2 linked regions of the Caenorhabditis elegans genome follow. The protein of the gene in region 1 interacts with the protein of each later gene in a pairwise test. Each region holds a gene or a part of one and is shown in the gene's direction. Other genes may lie near its edges. The genes, in order: sox-3 and ceh-30.

Region 1 (8,290 bases):
ACGACCACCACGTCAACATCGCAATGTGCATCCTGGTCGGCTTGTTCCGCACAATGTGGAGGATGTGGAACTCAATCGAGAAGGTGACTGAATGCGATTTATTCTGATACTTATTTTATGAATTACAGATGCGGTACCTACGTGGAAACTGTCTACTGTAACACCAACCCATGTACTGGAGGATATTGCTGCCGTCCGTTCTTCTACGTAACATCGTTCGGCACTGGATACTGTAGACGGCCAGGAGCAGATACACCAGCGGCTCCACAACGATATGTTGAGCAGAGAAAAGGCTAACTTTTAGATAATTTCTCAATGTTCTTTCAATACCAATCTCAACAGTATTTTGATCAATAACAATATTTAAAATTTTAATTTATCTAATAAATACCTTTTTTCATCTTATTTGCAAACTTTTTACCCTCAAAAATATTAAAATCTATCCAAAAAACTTTAAACGAAGACAATTTCTGGAATTCCAATCTGACGTAAGATCCGATTCTTTTTTCAGTAGTTTTTCAAGAATAATTTTCAAATCCTGTTTTTTATAAAATGACGCTATTTCTACATTTCCAAGAAAAGAGGAACCAAAGCCAAATTATAATAAGTGATATTCCCAAAGGATTATGTCAAGAATCCACGCCAAGAAGAATACATGATTCAATTTACAAATCTATTATATGACTCCCATCCGGCATCAGTCAAATCTAATAAAATGTAAGCTTTGGGGGCTTTTCAGTGGTTACGGTCATCAACACAATAGAAGTCAATTGCAACAATGTTGAGCATTCAACAATGTCAAAGTTCATAAAACCCTTTATTAAATCGTCTTGTAAACTTGGCTTTTATCAAAGATCGGAAGCAAAGTGGCAGTGAGAGAGAGAGCGGCGTGTGTTTGCAAATACCGTATGACAATGGCTAATGAAGTGTCATCATTTAATCGTATGTTTTATGCTAATGGATATCAAACAATATTATGGAAAAGTGGAGTGATATGTAGAAAATGTTTAGAATAAAATCGGCAAAACTAAACATATAATCTAAATTCAATTTTTTATGTGAATAAGAACCAAGAGGTACTTATGCAAACAATGTAAAAAATATTTAAAAAAGTCAGATGGGTGGCACCAATTGACCGGTCTCCTTTTTGTTACTAGCATAAATGAGTGGAGAAAAAACCACTATTTGTGCCTACTGTACTTAAAAAAAGGGTATCACCAGTTGGCAAACTTTTGGAATTATATTACTTTAAACAATTTAAAAGTGTGTGTTTTTTGAAAAAAAAATTTAATTTACAGTTTGCATGTCATAATTTTGAAAATCAGTAAAAAAACTTCTCCGAGTATTATTTTATGGTCAATTACTCAATTACTTATCTTAAAAAGTTTTAGGTCTTCGAACATGCATAAATGTTCCAAAAAGAAAACAACTACAAATTTTTCAAAAACTTTTTAGATGCTGACAAAAAACAGAAAAAGTTTAAAAATCTATTTGTAACTTTATTCATTTATTCATTTATTCTGAGTATGTTTTCGATTAAATTCCACAAAAATTGAAGCGAGTACCTGTTAAATACACACATTTTAAGTTATGAATTTCAGCCTTCAAAAGCTGTCTGGTAATTAAAAAAAATGTTGAAACAGTGTCCGGGGAAGAAAAAATGCACGATAGACAAGTTACGTACATGATCTTCTTTCCAACCTGTGCCAATACTTTAAGCTATGTCAGACTAGAACGGTTATCATTTTCTTTTTTTTCTGAATTTCAGGACAACATCTCAACAAACAAACAAAAGTGTTAGTGGCATCTCAACTTCATCTCAATTATAAACGCCAATGAAATCTATTCAAACAACAAATTGGCTTATAATCTGCACAAAACCTTCGCGCGAGCAATCATCAAATTAACTGTTTAATCCATCACAGCTCTTCTCCTCTTTATTAACTCGTGTCCTCCAGAAGTGTTCTGAAGTGCTGGTAGTGTGGTGGGTGCCTTCGGGCGGTGTGCTGGAGAAGTGAGAGAAGAGAGGGGGATGGAGGGGCCGAAAACGAAGTTATCGCAAATTTACATTGTAGAAAGGAACCATTTTCAAGCGTGCTGGACCTCGGATCCGCCAGCTTTGTCTTTCCCATTTTTCCCTTTCTTTTCTCAATTCTTGTAAAAATAATAGTTTTTGTCATGTGAAGTGTATTGTTTTTTGTGTGAGTAGCTAATGTTTACAGGAGAGGGGTACTGTAGAATTTCAAGGTACAGGGTGAGGTACGGAGGTAATGAGTACAGAGAAAATGTAGTCTAGAACGTGAAACATTACACATTTTCCAGTTAGAGGTACAATAAGGGACTCAGTTCTCATATACATATGCCTCATAACTCATATACATATGCTTGAAAATTAAAAATAGGATAACAGTATTTAAGCATGAGCATATGCCTTATAATGCTATAATTTCCAAATATCACTGTAAAACGTTTTATATATACACAGTCAAAAAGCTTTTACCTATCATAATTTTGAAGTCGACCAAAAAACTTTTTCACTAGGAGTAGTATATTTTAATTTTTTTCCAATTGTTTTTAATAGTAGTTCAAACAAGCGGCAATACTCTAAGTACCTTGAAGCCCAAATTTTTCATATATTAAACAATTTACCAAAATTTGATTGCAAAGTTTGTTAAATCTAAAGTTTTCAATTTTTTCCTATAACATTCAATCACGTTGGATTATCTTAAGTTTATCCATACTAAAGATACTCTACATATTTATTAAAATTTCAAATTGATTTTGAAAGTTTTGATACATCATTTAGGTATTTAAAAAATCTAGTTTTATAGATTTTATATATAAGTTTCTGAATACGTTCAGGTAACAATTTAAAAATTTGTTGAGCTCAAAAACATAATTGTGCTGGAAACCATAAAAATTTTGAAATGGATTTAAATTAAGGATTTAACACGTTTGCAATTTTTTGAAATTTCTTGCCTTGCGTCCCGTCCAACTCTGTTCGGAGAGGGGTCGGAAGTGAACAATCAACATTCTAAACAGAACACGAATTTACACATTTTCAACATTAAATATTGTGCCCCATCGTCCATCGTCAACCGTCACTTTTCACCTAACTTTCCTCTGTAAAAAGTTCGATCTAAAACATTGTATCATCCAAAGTATCAGCACGATGTGTTTGTTAGCACAGTGTCATATGATGTCGAATAAGAATTCATGGAAAAAAAAAACGTGTTTGGTTTTTCTTGTATTCGTTTTTGAAAATGCTCAAACTAGGTATTCAGTGTTCCGTTATTATTAGAAAAGTCGTTTTGCTTCACTGAACTAAACTAACTAGGAACTCTTGAATAACTTTTGAAATATTGAGAATTTGCAAAATTAGTTCACAGTTCATGCTTGACTTCATTCACCTTCCTACGAGTTCTTGCAATCATTATATCAGCGTAAGTTGCTATTTCAGTAGGGTCACATAGGAGCCATCTTGAGTATCAATTTCGATTACCGTATTTCCTCGCAACTCATTTTGGCTCCGCCTACTGTCTCTCGTCTATTTGTGCGCCGCCTCTTGTTGGCCACTGAGACGAGGGAGGACACGCATAATATAGCACGCGTCTGTCTCTCTTTCTTTTTTTTTTCGGAAATTTACCATTTCCTCATTCAGGTTTTCTTTTCTCTCTTACGTTTATTTTATGAGTAGGGTTTCCAGTTCTCGGTTTCTAGTTTCTTGTTTTCAAATTATTTCCAAAGTTTTCCCGAAATTATTTGTATTTGGTATTAATTTTTTCAAAAGTTTTGTTAGCATACATTGTCTTTCAGCGGTATGACTGACCTCTCTTGTCTGTATCCTTCACTTTTATGCACTGAAGCTGCAAAAACATCTTATGACGAAGACACAACGTCTGTTTCATCTGGTTTAAGCCCTCCGGGCTCTCCAGTCGATCTACAAAACTCGCTGGATCATGTGAAACGGCCGATGAATGCATTTATGGTTTGGAGCAGAGGACAGAGAAGGAAAATGGCACAGGTGCATTTTAAATATTTAAATTTTTTAGGTTATTATGTAAGTAAGTAATTTATTCAGGATAATCCAAAAATGCACAATTCCGAAATAAGTAAACGGTTGGGTGCAGAATGGAAACAGCTATCAGAGCAGGAAAAACGACCATTTATTGATGAAGCAAAACGGCTCAGAGCTTTACATATGAAGGTAGTTTAATTACATTTTTCAATAGTTATATTATTAATTTCTATACTCAGGAGCACCCAGACTACAAATACCGTCCACGAAGAAAGCCAAAATCCTCCAATCTGAAGCAACAACCTCGTTTGAACATCGCCATGCCAACCATCCCGCCACAATCACTTTTCAACTATTCCACAGCATTCGACTCATTGAAAACCCATGACCTCTCCCAATACTACTCATCATTCTTCCAATCGCCCGTATTATCCGGCTCAACCTATGCTCCATACAATATGATGGCTGCTTATGCGAGACAAGCTGCAGCCGTGGCTGCTGCAAGTCAAGTGTCGGCTTCAACAACGCCAACAGCTCCTGCCACGTAACTTGCTGAATTGTCATGTACGTTACACTTTTTTTTGAATTGTTTAATAAGGTATAGGTATTTTGAATTAACAGAAAAGAGAAATGTTGATCTTTGAAGAGCCACATAAGAGTAAAAAATGTATCATAACAATATATTAGTCATTTCTGTATTTCTAAAATTTCTAGAAAAAGTCTTATATATGTGTTATTGACATTCAAAACTTTGAAACAAATTAATCGGTGTAGCTGAAATCCCAAACTACCGCAATCCCATATTACAGTAGTTGATTCCATTTTTGTTTTATTTTTAAAAAAAGTTACAGTCGATAAATACACAAATGTGTTGCTTATTTTTGTGAGCTTATCGACAAAAAATAAGTCAGCGGCTGTAATGAACAAGCTACCCAAATTTGAAAATATTTTATTTGAGGCTTTCCATATCAAAACTTGAATACGCAATAATAATTTTTGAAAAGTTTTAACATTAAAATTTAGTAGTTTAGGCTCACAATATTTGAGAAATTTTGAAATTTTTACTTTTAAAGATTAAGTTAATTTTAACGGTAGGCAAAGCTTTTGGGAAGAATATATCTTACGGTTTTTGTTGGCTTGATGTTCCGTTGAACTTCTAGTTGACGTTTTGCTCTTAATTCTTATCTAGTCTTGTTTCAAACTATACAAATCGCCCAACAATTTACTACACTTCAATTTTCAAATATCAACTTTCCCACAAGTCATTCATTCCTTTTCTTCCGCTATAAAGACATTAGGTGGTCGGTCACTTGTTTCCGACCGAAATCGGTTCATAACCATAAGAAACGCGTCCAAGTGTAAAACCCTCCTTTCCCCCTTCTCTTTTTGAATTAACACCACCACTAAATTCGACTCCCGCCAATTTGTGTATTGTGCACCTCGCGCACTTCCGGTTACACACGGTTACATTGTTCCATGCCAAATTCTTATTATTTTCACTTGAAGTGTATCGGTTTGATTTTTTCCAACACACAAAAAATGAATGAATGAAAAGGTGTGAGTGTATCATGCGCGAATAAGTCGAATAAGTCGCGCGCTTTGTGTTGAAATGTACTGTTTACTGAATGATTGACATATGTGTGCAGTTTAGATTTGAAGATGAGCAATGATTCCATTTTCTTATCGCTTTCGGAGAAAAGACAATAAAAATGACTCAGAATAATGATGAATAGTCTATATGTGTTTGGGAATTGTGTTTTACTTTGTATTTTAAACTACCATCTGATTTTCAGGTTTGCTCAATACCATGCTTCACCTTCAATGAGCAGAATCTCCCTACAAATGCCATACAGACAAATTGATTCTAATTTTTCGATAATTTTGATTCGAATGTGCTATGTGCAACCTACCTGTACTTTTCTATTTTGCTGTATCTTCCATAAATGAAATATAAAATTTTGTGAAGAAATAACTACAAACTTTGGGTTTTATCAATTTTATCTATTTGTCAGCTGCACTCAAAAGCTCATCACCAGGATACGGTATTTTTTTTAACGGTTGTTCAAAGTGTGCCTGCCGCAAAAGTGTACAAGAATAAATAGGCGCCCAATGTAATGTTAGTATTCAATTTTTGCGACTTCTATTGTACAACAAATTCAATACAATAGATTGAATTGTTCAAGAACAAACTTCCAATTCATTGTTGGTTGAAACGAATGAATAGAATCAAGGAAGGAAAGAAGGTATTCAACAACTTTTACTCCTCTCTCCTTTATTTTCACCCCCACTGTCCCTTGCCATTGATATTTACCATTTGCTGTCCCCTGTCACCTCCTCTGTCATTGACGACCGATACCCCCATGGAGTTACATTTTTTTTTTCGTTGAGGTTGCCTGAACAAAGAGAACAATGTCCGCACTTAAAACGCCTAATCAAATCGGTTCACACGCTGAGAAAAAAGTTGAGGGAAGTCTAAACCATTTCATGGTCATTTGTTAGATGGAAATTTATAGAAACAGGTCATGTTGCGAGAATTTTTCGACCTTAAGTTAATACTCAATTTATCTAAGTTGAAACATAAGATTTATAACTGCTTATGACATAATAATGAGCAACTTGAACATGACGCTACAGTATTTTTACCATTAAACAAAAATTAACAAGTGCTCCAGTGAATCCACGACTTATAATTTGGTCTTATCCAAACCTAGTCAAACCTGGCTATGTGAACATCAAAACTTGAACTTCCTCTTTCGAGAACGACACATCATTTAAAACTTTTTCAAGCGTTACTTTACAAGCATGAAAATATAATTAATTTTTGAAAACACGACAGAAGCACTATATGGTTGAACTTACTGTGGACGCCTATGTACTATGCACATTAAATGTAATTTTGAAACTGATAAATTTAATGTTTAAAAAAATCTCATGGGTCAGGTGGGCGTTAGATGTTTCAATATTTTGCTCTTTTTCGCTCAATTTTTGAGATATCAGGATAAGCTTGTAGATACAAAGATTTATTGGTATGCTGAATCCAATTCCGATATTAGTTTCCCATGAAAAAAGTTCGTCAACACCCGGAACCGCTCAAGTAGGCAACCAAGTTTCCGGTTGACGAAAAGTTGCCGGTTGCCCAAAGTATGTGGTTTGGGTTCGGCAACTTTGGCAATTGCAGATATGAATGCCAAACATTTTGTAGCTCAGAAAAAAGCATTGAGAAGTTGTGAAAAATGCTAGCATTTCACTGTAAACAATAAAACGACCATACTTCAAAAATATAATTTCAACGAAAAAAAACCTTGAAAAAACTTTGGCAACTGCCGGTTGCCAAAATTTTTAGGGTTCGGTAACTTCGGTAATTGCAGGTTGCCGAAAATCTTGGTTGCCGCACAGCCCTGATATACACTAGGAATATATATATATATATATTCCAGGTAACAGATTTTTAAAATAATTCAAGAAAATTGAGACGGTCCATGAAAAGCCATGTTTTATAAATCACTATTTAAATATATGCAATTGAAAAAATAGTATAAAAACTTGTGAAACACGTTATTTTAATGTATTTATTTGGTATTTAAATTCAAAATTAAGCACATCTGTCAAAATAGTCAGAAATTAATGTTATAAACACTGATATGAACACCTTGCGCCGCACAACAGTTGTCAAGTATTAAGGAAGTACTGTGGACTTACCCAACATGTACATACTCACCAGTCAGCTAGATATGATATTAAACAAAAATGGAAGGCTTTCACATAAAATTGTTACACATTTTTCATTGGTGACAAACTGTCTTGCAATTTCCAACTCAACTTCACCAAGTACTCCACAGTTCCATGTGTTGCCTTTTTGTCTCAAGGTAGCCCATAATTGTTTTCATCTAACGGAAATTTGAAAGAAAGACATACCAATACATACACAATGGTAATTATCGTATTGCCTTTGCTTCGCAACGTAGTTTGCTGACACTCACCCTCACTGTTTCTGGTTCTCATTGCATTTAAAACGGGCATTTTTGCTATTTTCTGAGTGCAATGTGTGTATGTATGTATGTCTAAGGTCAGAACAAAAACTCAATGAAAATGAGGACTGTCAATCATCTGACTGGTTTTTGTGGAACAATATTGAAAAAAGTAGTGGAGAATTTTGGACGATGGAGTTTTGAAAATTATGAGCTTGGACAGGAAAAAACGTTTTGCAATGAGCAACTAGACATGTGACCTACAAGATAAAATTTCCGGAAATTCATATATATACATATATAT
Region 2 (8,251 bases), about 12 Mb from region 1:
AACAAAAATTACATAATATTTGAGGGAATATAATAGTTTGAGAACAAAGGTTTCGTGTTGTTAGATCTGCGAGTGGTGGCCCCACCTTTCCCGCAGTATATGCACAGTTTAATCAGCTGTACAAAATTTGACAACAGAGGAATTATGGTCGACTGTTTTCAGTTGGTATTTCGCAATATATTTTTCCACCGATTTCTACGATATATATATATATATATATATATATATATAATCAAATGAAAAATGTTCAAGGAATTGAGAGAAAATAACGCTTTAAAAAAATGAACGTTTACTAGGTTTTAAACAACTGTTTAAAGTGGATTTTTATCGGAGAGGAGATTATTTAAATGGAACACTTTTTTAAATTCTATATCTTTTTTAAATTCTATCACTTTGAACACTTTTTTAAATTCTATAGTACTTGCTATCAAAAAGTGGTAGCTACCGTATTTCCTCTGTTAGTCTTTCATGCAAGACTAATTTTCGATTGATCCGTAAGGGTTCAAGACAAGTAGAAGAAATACGGTAATCTGTGTTCACTAATTTTTGTTATGTAAGTCAAATTAAAATAGTTTGAATATACAGATCAAAATATAAAATTTCAGTAAATTGTGTTTAAAAGTCATAGGAATACGAGCTTGCTGAAACGCTCAAAATTTCTTTGATAGTCTAGTTTTCAAAAATTATGGTTGTTGACGTTTGACTGAAGAATTCAGGAAAATCAATAGCCATTTTGAGTTTTCAATTCCAATTTTATGTAAACAAAATGATTTTTGCGATTTTATAAAACTATGTTTGGCAAGAGTTTCACTTATTTCTTGAATTTTAAAAATGTATAATTGTATATGTAGTTGTATATTGTATAGTTAATTGTATAGTTAAACCGCATTGTCAAGTTAAATATTATAATTTCAAAGACCAAAGAGAATTAGAAAAAAGCGCCATTATGATCATGATTGTGCTTTAGACAAAATTTGATTATAAAAGTGTTTTGTGCAATGAATAAATAGGAAGTTAGTTTTGCAAAAACATTATCTTCACTGCAAAAATTAAATTTTCAATTTGAAAACAATATAAATAAAAAAATGCTTAGAAACAACACATCAGTCACATATGAGTTGAGAACTATAAAATACGATTAAATATGACTAAACCTTTTGCCTGAACGTTCAAAATTGAATCCAGTGAATTGTCCAAAATTCACAGATAAATCCACGTGTATACTAACACTGTTAGAAGTTAATTTGTTAATGAATAAATTTAGAAACTATGGTTTCAAAACGAGTTCCAATATATGTTTAATATTTAAGTAATAAGAATTTTGAAATAAATTTCATGTTTATCAAAGCAGCGTTTTATCTTTCCAACTATCTATATAACTCTTCAAATTTATCCATAACCTGACACTTCCGGCAGTTCCATCAATTGTATTCGTTAACCTGCCGCTGATCGGTGCAAGCTATAAGTCAACATGTCACATAAAAAGGTGCCTAAAAAGGACACAATTGCCGGGTGGCTTTGATAAACACCGCTTCACACACTTGAAGGAGTCGTTTACCTGGTCTCAATTGCCATTGTCAAAAAAAAAGAAGCGTCTCTATTGCGCAACAGAACACAATAGAGCAGCCACGTGTGTGCTGGTCCCACCGGTCTGCGACACCTTTCCGGGAGTGTCCTTTAATCTAATTATTTATGTTGGCAATTGTAATGAGCTGTATGGAAAGGATACGATATTATGTAATAGAACCTGCTTACCCGGGAGATTTCAAAGGCGGCTTCTGTCTCCTAAACAAGCTCATATTCATATTGCCAGCTTTTTTCTTGTTACTGGGTGTCAAGATGTATGTTCACAATTAAGAGTGGGGGAAATGGCAAATGACAATTATCTCTAATGCATTTTCATTTCCACTTCCAATTTTCCTTTTTTTTTCAACTTCCCATTTTTCAATTTGTAACTGTATCGTTTTCCAGTCAATCTTCCTGCGCGCCCAATATTTTACGCTACGTTGAGTTGAAAGTGTCTCCGCTTTTTGCACCTCTTCTAAATATACAAGGACGGAACGATCATCTTGTTTCTCAACATTACCAAGGTAGCAAATATATAAGTAGAAGAAAGAGCTAATGAGAATGATTTATGTGAACTATCAAATAAAACAACTGCTGGCGGAATGAGGAACGCAATGACTTTGAAACATGTCTATGTACATAGCTGGGCGGTCGAAAATTAGCTGAATGTCCTTCCATGCCAATCGGCTTGGAATCGCGAAACAAAAAACCATTTTATTTGTTTTGTAATTGACGGTTAGTATGCAAAATTAATCGACACTTCAGAGTAGATTTCTCTTCGAAATATAGGAATCGGTGGATGTTAATTACATGGGTTTTGTCACTCCGAATATGGGATTTTAACGCTTTTTGCAGTTTCAAATTATTTTTGTGTCTGGTTAAGATGTGAAAATGCATTGTTTCAAGGACAGAGCGAAGATTGTTCATAATATCGGCAAGTGGCCTTATTCTGAAACTCTATTGCAACATTACGTGTTTTGGGGGAAAATGAAACTATAAACAGAACTAATTTGAGAAAAGCGACAAAAATATGTATTCATTCAGAAAAAAAGGAAACAGAGTGTTTACAACAATGATTGAAATTATTTGAAATTAAATAAAAAACAATCACCGTATTTCTACAGGTTACTGAAATCGTGATTCGTAACAAAAATTTACCGTAACTTCTATAACTTTTTTTTGCCGAAAAATACGTTGAGTAACCTTTTGTCGATTTTGTGAAAAACAAACCGACTAAGCTTATATATGGAGATTAGTAAGATGGTCTTTCTGCAAGTAAGTGAAAAACTGTGAAAATGAAACTTTAACATTTCGAGCACCAACCTGAAAATTAGAGTTCGATATCCAGCTTTGGCAGAATAATATTCCATATTGTTTATTTCCAAGTTTGACAATTCATCAAATGTTTCCCTAGAACCACCGTTTGACAGGTTGCTCCAATTAGCCGCAGTGTGCAGCTATTCCCAACCATCTTCCCCCATCTCATTTTCGCCATCATTTTCCCCCGCATCATCTGAGATGTGCAAAATGAAAGGTCAAGTTATAGATTTCGTGTTATTAAATACAAATAATTGACTTCTCATGTGGCGTTGGATCTCGAAAATCGAGTGTAATTGTCATGACCATGTTTAGGAGGGCGGTGGTGGTAGCTGCTGCTGCATCATCCTTCCCAATGTCAACGCACCCTCTTCTCTCACCCAAATTGCCAGGCCGTCGCCCCGCCCACTCTCGCACATTTAACTTGTCTTATAGTCACCCCTCATCGTCCGACAATAACCAATCATCGGTGCCTTCAACAGTGTCGCATTCCCGACTTTCGAACGTGCAAAGCATTCGTTTAACACTTTTCTACAGTACCACTCACTTCCCAAAATGTCACTTCTCGACCCTCGGCAGTTTCTGCTTCCCGCTTTTTATCTGGATCCGACTACACAAGCACTTCTAGCTCAAGCAGCTTCAACTTCCCCGTGCAACAAAATTTCGTCTTCTTCTTCATTCCGCATTTCTGACATTCTCGAGCAATCCCCAAACAATTCATCCCATTCAAACGATCACGGTAAGTCATTACACCTGCAATTGATTCCAAAATTCCAAACATTCAAAACGACAGCCATTAAAAGTTTTGTGCGCGGCGCGTTACCCATCAAAAATTTACTCAACCATGCTCTCGATTTTCTCCTCTCAATGGTGACTACCCGGAAATGATAGTTTGAATGTAGGGGGGGGGGGGGGTAAAAGGATTAATGCCTTAATGAACATATGAATACAGTTCTCTTCCGGGGTCAATCTTTTGTTTTGTTCTTTTTGTGCATCAATAACCATCAACTTTCAGACCCATCGCCACAATCAATTAAATCTGATTTTTCAACTTCGCCAAGAGCAAGCAGCCCCGGCGGCGATCGAATGGGTAGTCCAGGCAGTTGCAAAAAATCTCGGAAGGCAAGAACCATCTTCACTGACAAGCAGTTGCAAGAGTTGGAGAATACATTTGAAAAGCAAAAGTATCTATCAGTCCAGGACAGGATGGATTTGGCGCACAGAATGGGTCTCACTGATACTCAAGTCAAGACGTGGTACCAAAATAGAAGGTTAGTAATAACGTCTTTCAATTATCGTTGGAATTATCGTTGGAATTATCGTTGGTAGCAGAGTCAATTCTTAACATACATATGTACATTCTCAAATTAATAACAAGCGTAGCCGCCAATTGAGCCCACCCTTGTAGATTACTACACCAACCACGCTCACATTTCCTAATTATTGTTCAAGGCGGCGGTGTTCTATGTGAATATTTGATGTGATGACTTGTCATCAGAGCATCATCATCGTCGTCATCATCAAATTTTCACCAGCTTTTAGTATCGGTTTCATTGGTGAATGAAGTGGATAGACGAATTTGTGCCTCTTTTGAAATGTATCCATGCATTCACAATCTGGAAAACCTTTCAAAACGTCGCTATTGTTGTGTAGTTATCGCCGGGGTGGTCTCCTGCTCTTTTGCACAATAATGAGGCGTATGAGTCCGCTAAGAGGCAGATCACCTGCTTTTGGTCCCAAGGTTCGGCAGCGTTGAATTAATCCGAATATAGTCAAGTGGTGGTTAATACATATAATATATCTAGTTGCGACATAAAAACATCATTATTACAATAACGGGACACTCAAAAATTAAGATGTGAAAAGTGAAGACGTCCGGTCTAGTGGAACAAAATACGGCAATTCAAATTACTCAAATTACTTAATGTTTTTTATAGAACAAAATGGAAGCGACAGGCAACAAGTGGAATGGATCTTCTATCGGAACCTGGAAACCTCTCCGCAGTTCAGAACTTGATCAGAAGCAGTCCATATTGGGCCAACTATATCACAGCCTTACCTATGGGCACTCAGCTACCGATGATGGGCCTACCCATGTCTATGATTGTTCCCCCAGCCCATGCTTTCCAGCCTTCCTCCTCTTCAAATTCTCCATCCACTCACATATCCAGTGAATCCCCTCAGTTGGATGTTTCCAGCAACTCAGAATAGTATTTCTTGTGTTAATTTTTAAAATTTGTATGTAATATTTTCAATTAAAGTCACAAAAACCGATCTCAATGGGTTAGATAGGGAGAAGACGCTTTCTTTTTTTCACAACATTGCATATGTATCGCTTGTGTTATTTTTATTTTGCTTGATTATGTCATTTCCACGTCATTAATAATAATATTATTATTTTATTATGCTGTTCGTGGATGATGACGATTTCCGAAATCTGATAAGAAAACTGGAGATGGTGGGGCATTCAAAAATACAATGAACACAAGACGTGCCAGAAGCGCCAGGTGTTGGCGAGTGGCGCAACCGTTCTGATTTTATCGCGACGGAAGAGGTAAATATGTGAGATAGAATACTTGGCAGGCGTCGTTAACACCTCACCTGTTCGACAAATACCTTTACCTGACAGACGGTTCCTAGCTCACTTTTTCAAAAAATGTGGAGAAATTAGTAAAACTTATTTCTATGGTGTTCAAATGTCCAAAGATCATGATAAAACCTTTCAAATAGAAATTGGAAATTTTGGTACTTTTGTGTGAATCGAACTCAGTTTTCACCAGTAACAATAAACATTTCTCGCAATAAAAATTTTCCAAAATTTTTTTTCAAAAATGATATGTAGTAATTTAGCAAAATTTTGACATTCATAGTAAAGGCACAAATTGTTTTTCTGAGTGGGTCTCGCCACGATCTCAGTTAAAATGCTTGCTACAGGCGCGAATATATACAAATTTGTTGTTAACTTGATAATAAAATTAAAGTTTGTGAACTTTTAAATTTTAAAGTGAACCTAGAAAAAATAGTCGATAGTACATATTTTGATGCCTTTCAAATTAGAAAATTTTCAAGAATTACTATCATGCTACATTTTTCAATTTATAACATTTGACTTAACAATATATAATTGCTCTCTCTAACTCATATTGCTGAAATGGTATAAATTTTTAAGGATAAAAAATCATAGCAGCTTCCATTCTACAGTTCATTGTTTCAATTTTGTCCCCGGAAGAGCACAAGTGTCGTTCATTAGTAAGCTTAAGATAATTGGTAATTGGTAGTGTGTTAGGCTAGTGGTATGTTTGTGTAAGCACGCAAGAAGTGTGCATTCTTCCGGTTCAGTGACAACTAACAACTAACACGCCTAATTCCATGTAACACGCTCCTCTTCTATTATGTTTCCCCTTTTCGTCGCCCACAAAACCAGGCTCATTTAGTGGAAATCTCGCATTTGAGAAACTCCAGGCCCTCATCCTGATCATCGTTCTCGTCTTTAGACAAATTGGTCGTGTACATACACACACACACACACACACACACACACACACCCACATATACACATTGAAACCCACTTGACATCTAATTCGAGAATAGACAGGGGAGAAAGGAGACGAGTACGGTAATCGTCTACCGCCAATAAATAGGATTTTGAAGGAACGGTGTCATTAAAGCAATTGGACACCACACCGTGAACGGTAGTGGGGTGAATTGTGAATGAACACATCCAAAAACACAGTTTGCAACCATTCCGATGAATTTGGTTCCGTCGATGGGGTCATAAAAATTATAACCTCATAATTAGTATTATTTTAACAACCTCTGGATTAGGTAGAATAAGATAATCTAATGATTGTTTTACAATCACTTGATCTTCTTCCCATATTTTATGCCACAACGGAGACAATCATGATGTTCTGCGCACCGATCCGTGATCTGATGATGTGGCTCGTCAACCACCCCTAATGTATCATTGACTGCTGCTCTCAATAAAAAGATTACAAGGGAATTAGCTCAGGGGGCTGGTGGCAATTGATTCAATTTACACTCAGCACACACACACACACTGACAAATACACGTATACACCTGTCGTCTCCTTTGTCCGATGAGCTCCCGGATGAATAAAAAATGAAGATGATGCTAATTTGGGAGAAATGTGTATGATATGGGGGAAGGCAAAAGTTTGACACCTTTAATCGGGATCATTGAACAGTTGATCACACTTGCATATAGGACAAATTACAAAATTGTCTAGTTCTTGATTTTCAGATTTTCGAGTATTTTACCGTATTTCTTCTATTTTGCATCACGATTCTGTGTTTCGGCTGCTCACCAACTGGCAGAATATGTTTTTTACGTATCTGATGATTTCCAAAGGAACTAGGATAATACCTTTCAAGGTAAAGTAGTGGGATCCTAAATTGATCAGCGATAAAATTTTGAAATTTTTTTTTTTTTTTAATTTTTGAAAATTTTTTTTGGCTTTTTTAATTGAATTCTTGCGGAGTCACACATTTTTTTCTAACTCTGCAATTTTACTGTGATTTCAATCAATCATTCTGTCACTATCACACAAATTTTTCTAGATATAAATTCTCTGAAAAAGAACAATGGCTAGAAGTGATGCACACTTTCAAAACCGCATTTTAATTTCAAAGCGGATTTTTCCTAGGAAGACACCGTATGCTTGGAATAAGTTATAGTGGAAAGACGCCGGGTAAAGTTCTCGGGACAAGTTGCGGTATTTATGAGAGGAAATTGGAAACTAATTAGGACAGAGATGAGTAGTTTCAGATGAATAGCTGATTTTATTGCCATTTCTATAGTTTATTTCTTTTTTAGATGAACTTTTTCCCCGATGAATTCTTCCCAATTTCCATTCAATAACATTACATGAGTTTACGAGTTCATGTCAAATGGTGAATAAGTTGAGTTACATGAGTTTACAGGAAATGTTTGACATTCCAATACGAAGACCAGTTCAATAAATCATTCTCGCAACGACCCCTGAAACGATGACATGATTGAACAATAATTCGTTAACAAGTCGACTCAATTGCAATAATACACGGCTGCGGTCTCCTTCGACAATTGTCATCTTGCTAAACAATTGAACAAGACGAATGAAAAGAAGGTTGAGGTTTTGACAAACTGTACAGGACGCGTCTCTAACCTCCTTTCTCAAATTGGGTGGCATCATTGTTCGAAAAAGGTGTCGCTATAATTGACGAATTATTCGACTCCTAGGCAGACGATCTTCAACTGTAAAGGTGTTACGGAAAATCTACTCAGCTATGAAAGTTGGAAGGCCTCCACTTTGACGAGTAACGTAGAGTGTTTGAGGTGGAGAGGAAGCGGGACGACTTTTTGCTT

Evidence for each region.
Region 2: the proteins of sox-3 (region 1) and ceh-30 interact in a two-hybrid assay, tested with the Caenorhabditis elegans proteins (one large-scale study listed by BioGRID).

Annotation. Positions count from the first base shown.
Region 1 is NC_003284.9:14,688,526-14,696,815, reverse strand, and holds sox-3 (Transcription factor sox-3), read left to right. Parts: upstream 1-3,816; 5' UTR 3,817-3,820; coding exon 3,821-4,024; intron 4,025-4,081; coding exon 4,082-4,207; intron 4,208-4,257; coding exon 4,258-4,566; 3' UTR 4,567-4,582; intron 4,583-5,811; 3' UTR 5,812-5,986; downstream 5,987-8,290. Other genes in the region: hch-1 (Zinc metalloproteinase nas-34), read left to right, coding at 1-83, 129-297. UniProt on the Caenorhabditis elegans protein: Probable transcription factor. Involved in the terminal differentiation of some neuronal cell types. Dispensable for neuronal fate commitment during embryogenesis.
Region 2 is NC_003284.9:3,060,268-3,068,518, forward strand, and holds ceh-30 (Homeobox protein ceh-30), read left to right. Parts: upstream 1-3,306; 5' UTR 3,307-3,438; coding exon 3,439-3,622; intron 3,623-3,898; coding exon 3,899-4,154; exon of another isoform or gene 4,155-4,359; intron 4,360-4,467; exon of another isoform or gene 4,468-4,617; intron 4,618-4,620; exon of another isoform or gene 4,621-4,766; intron 4,767-4,820; coding exon 4,821-5,094; 3' UTR 5,095-5,284; downstream 5,285-8,251.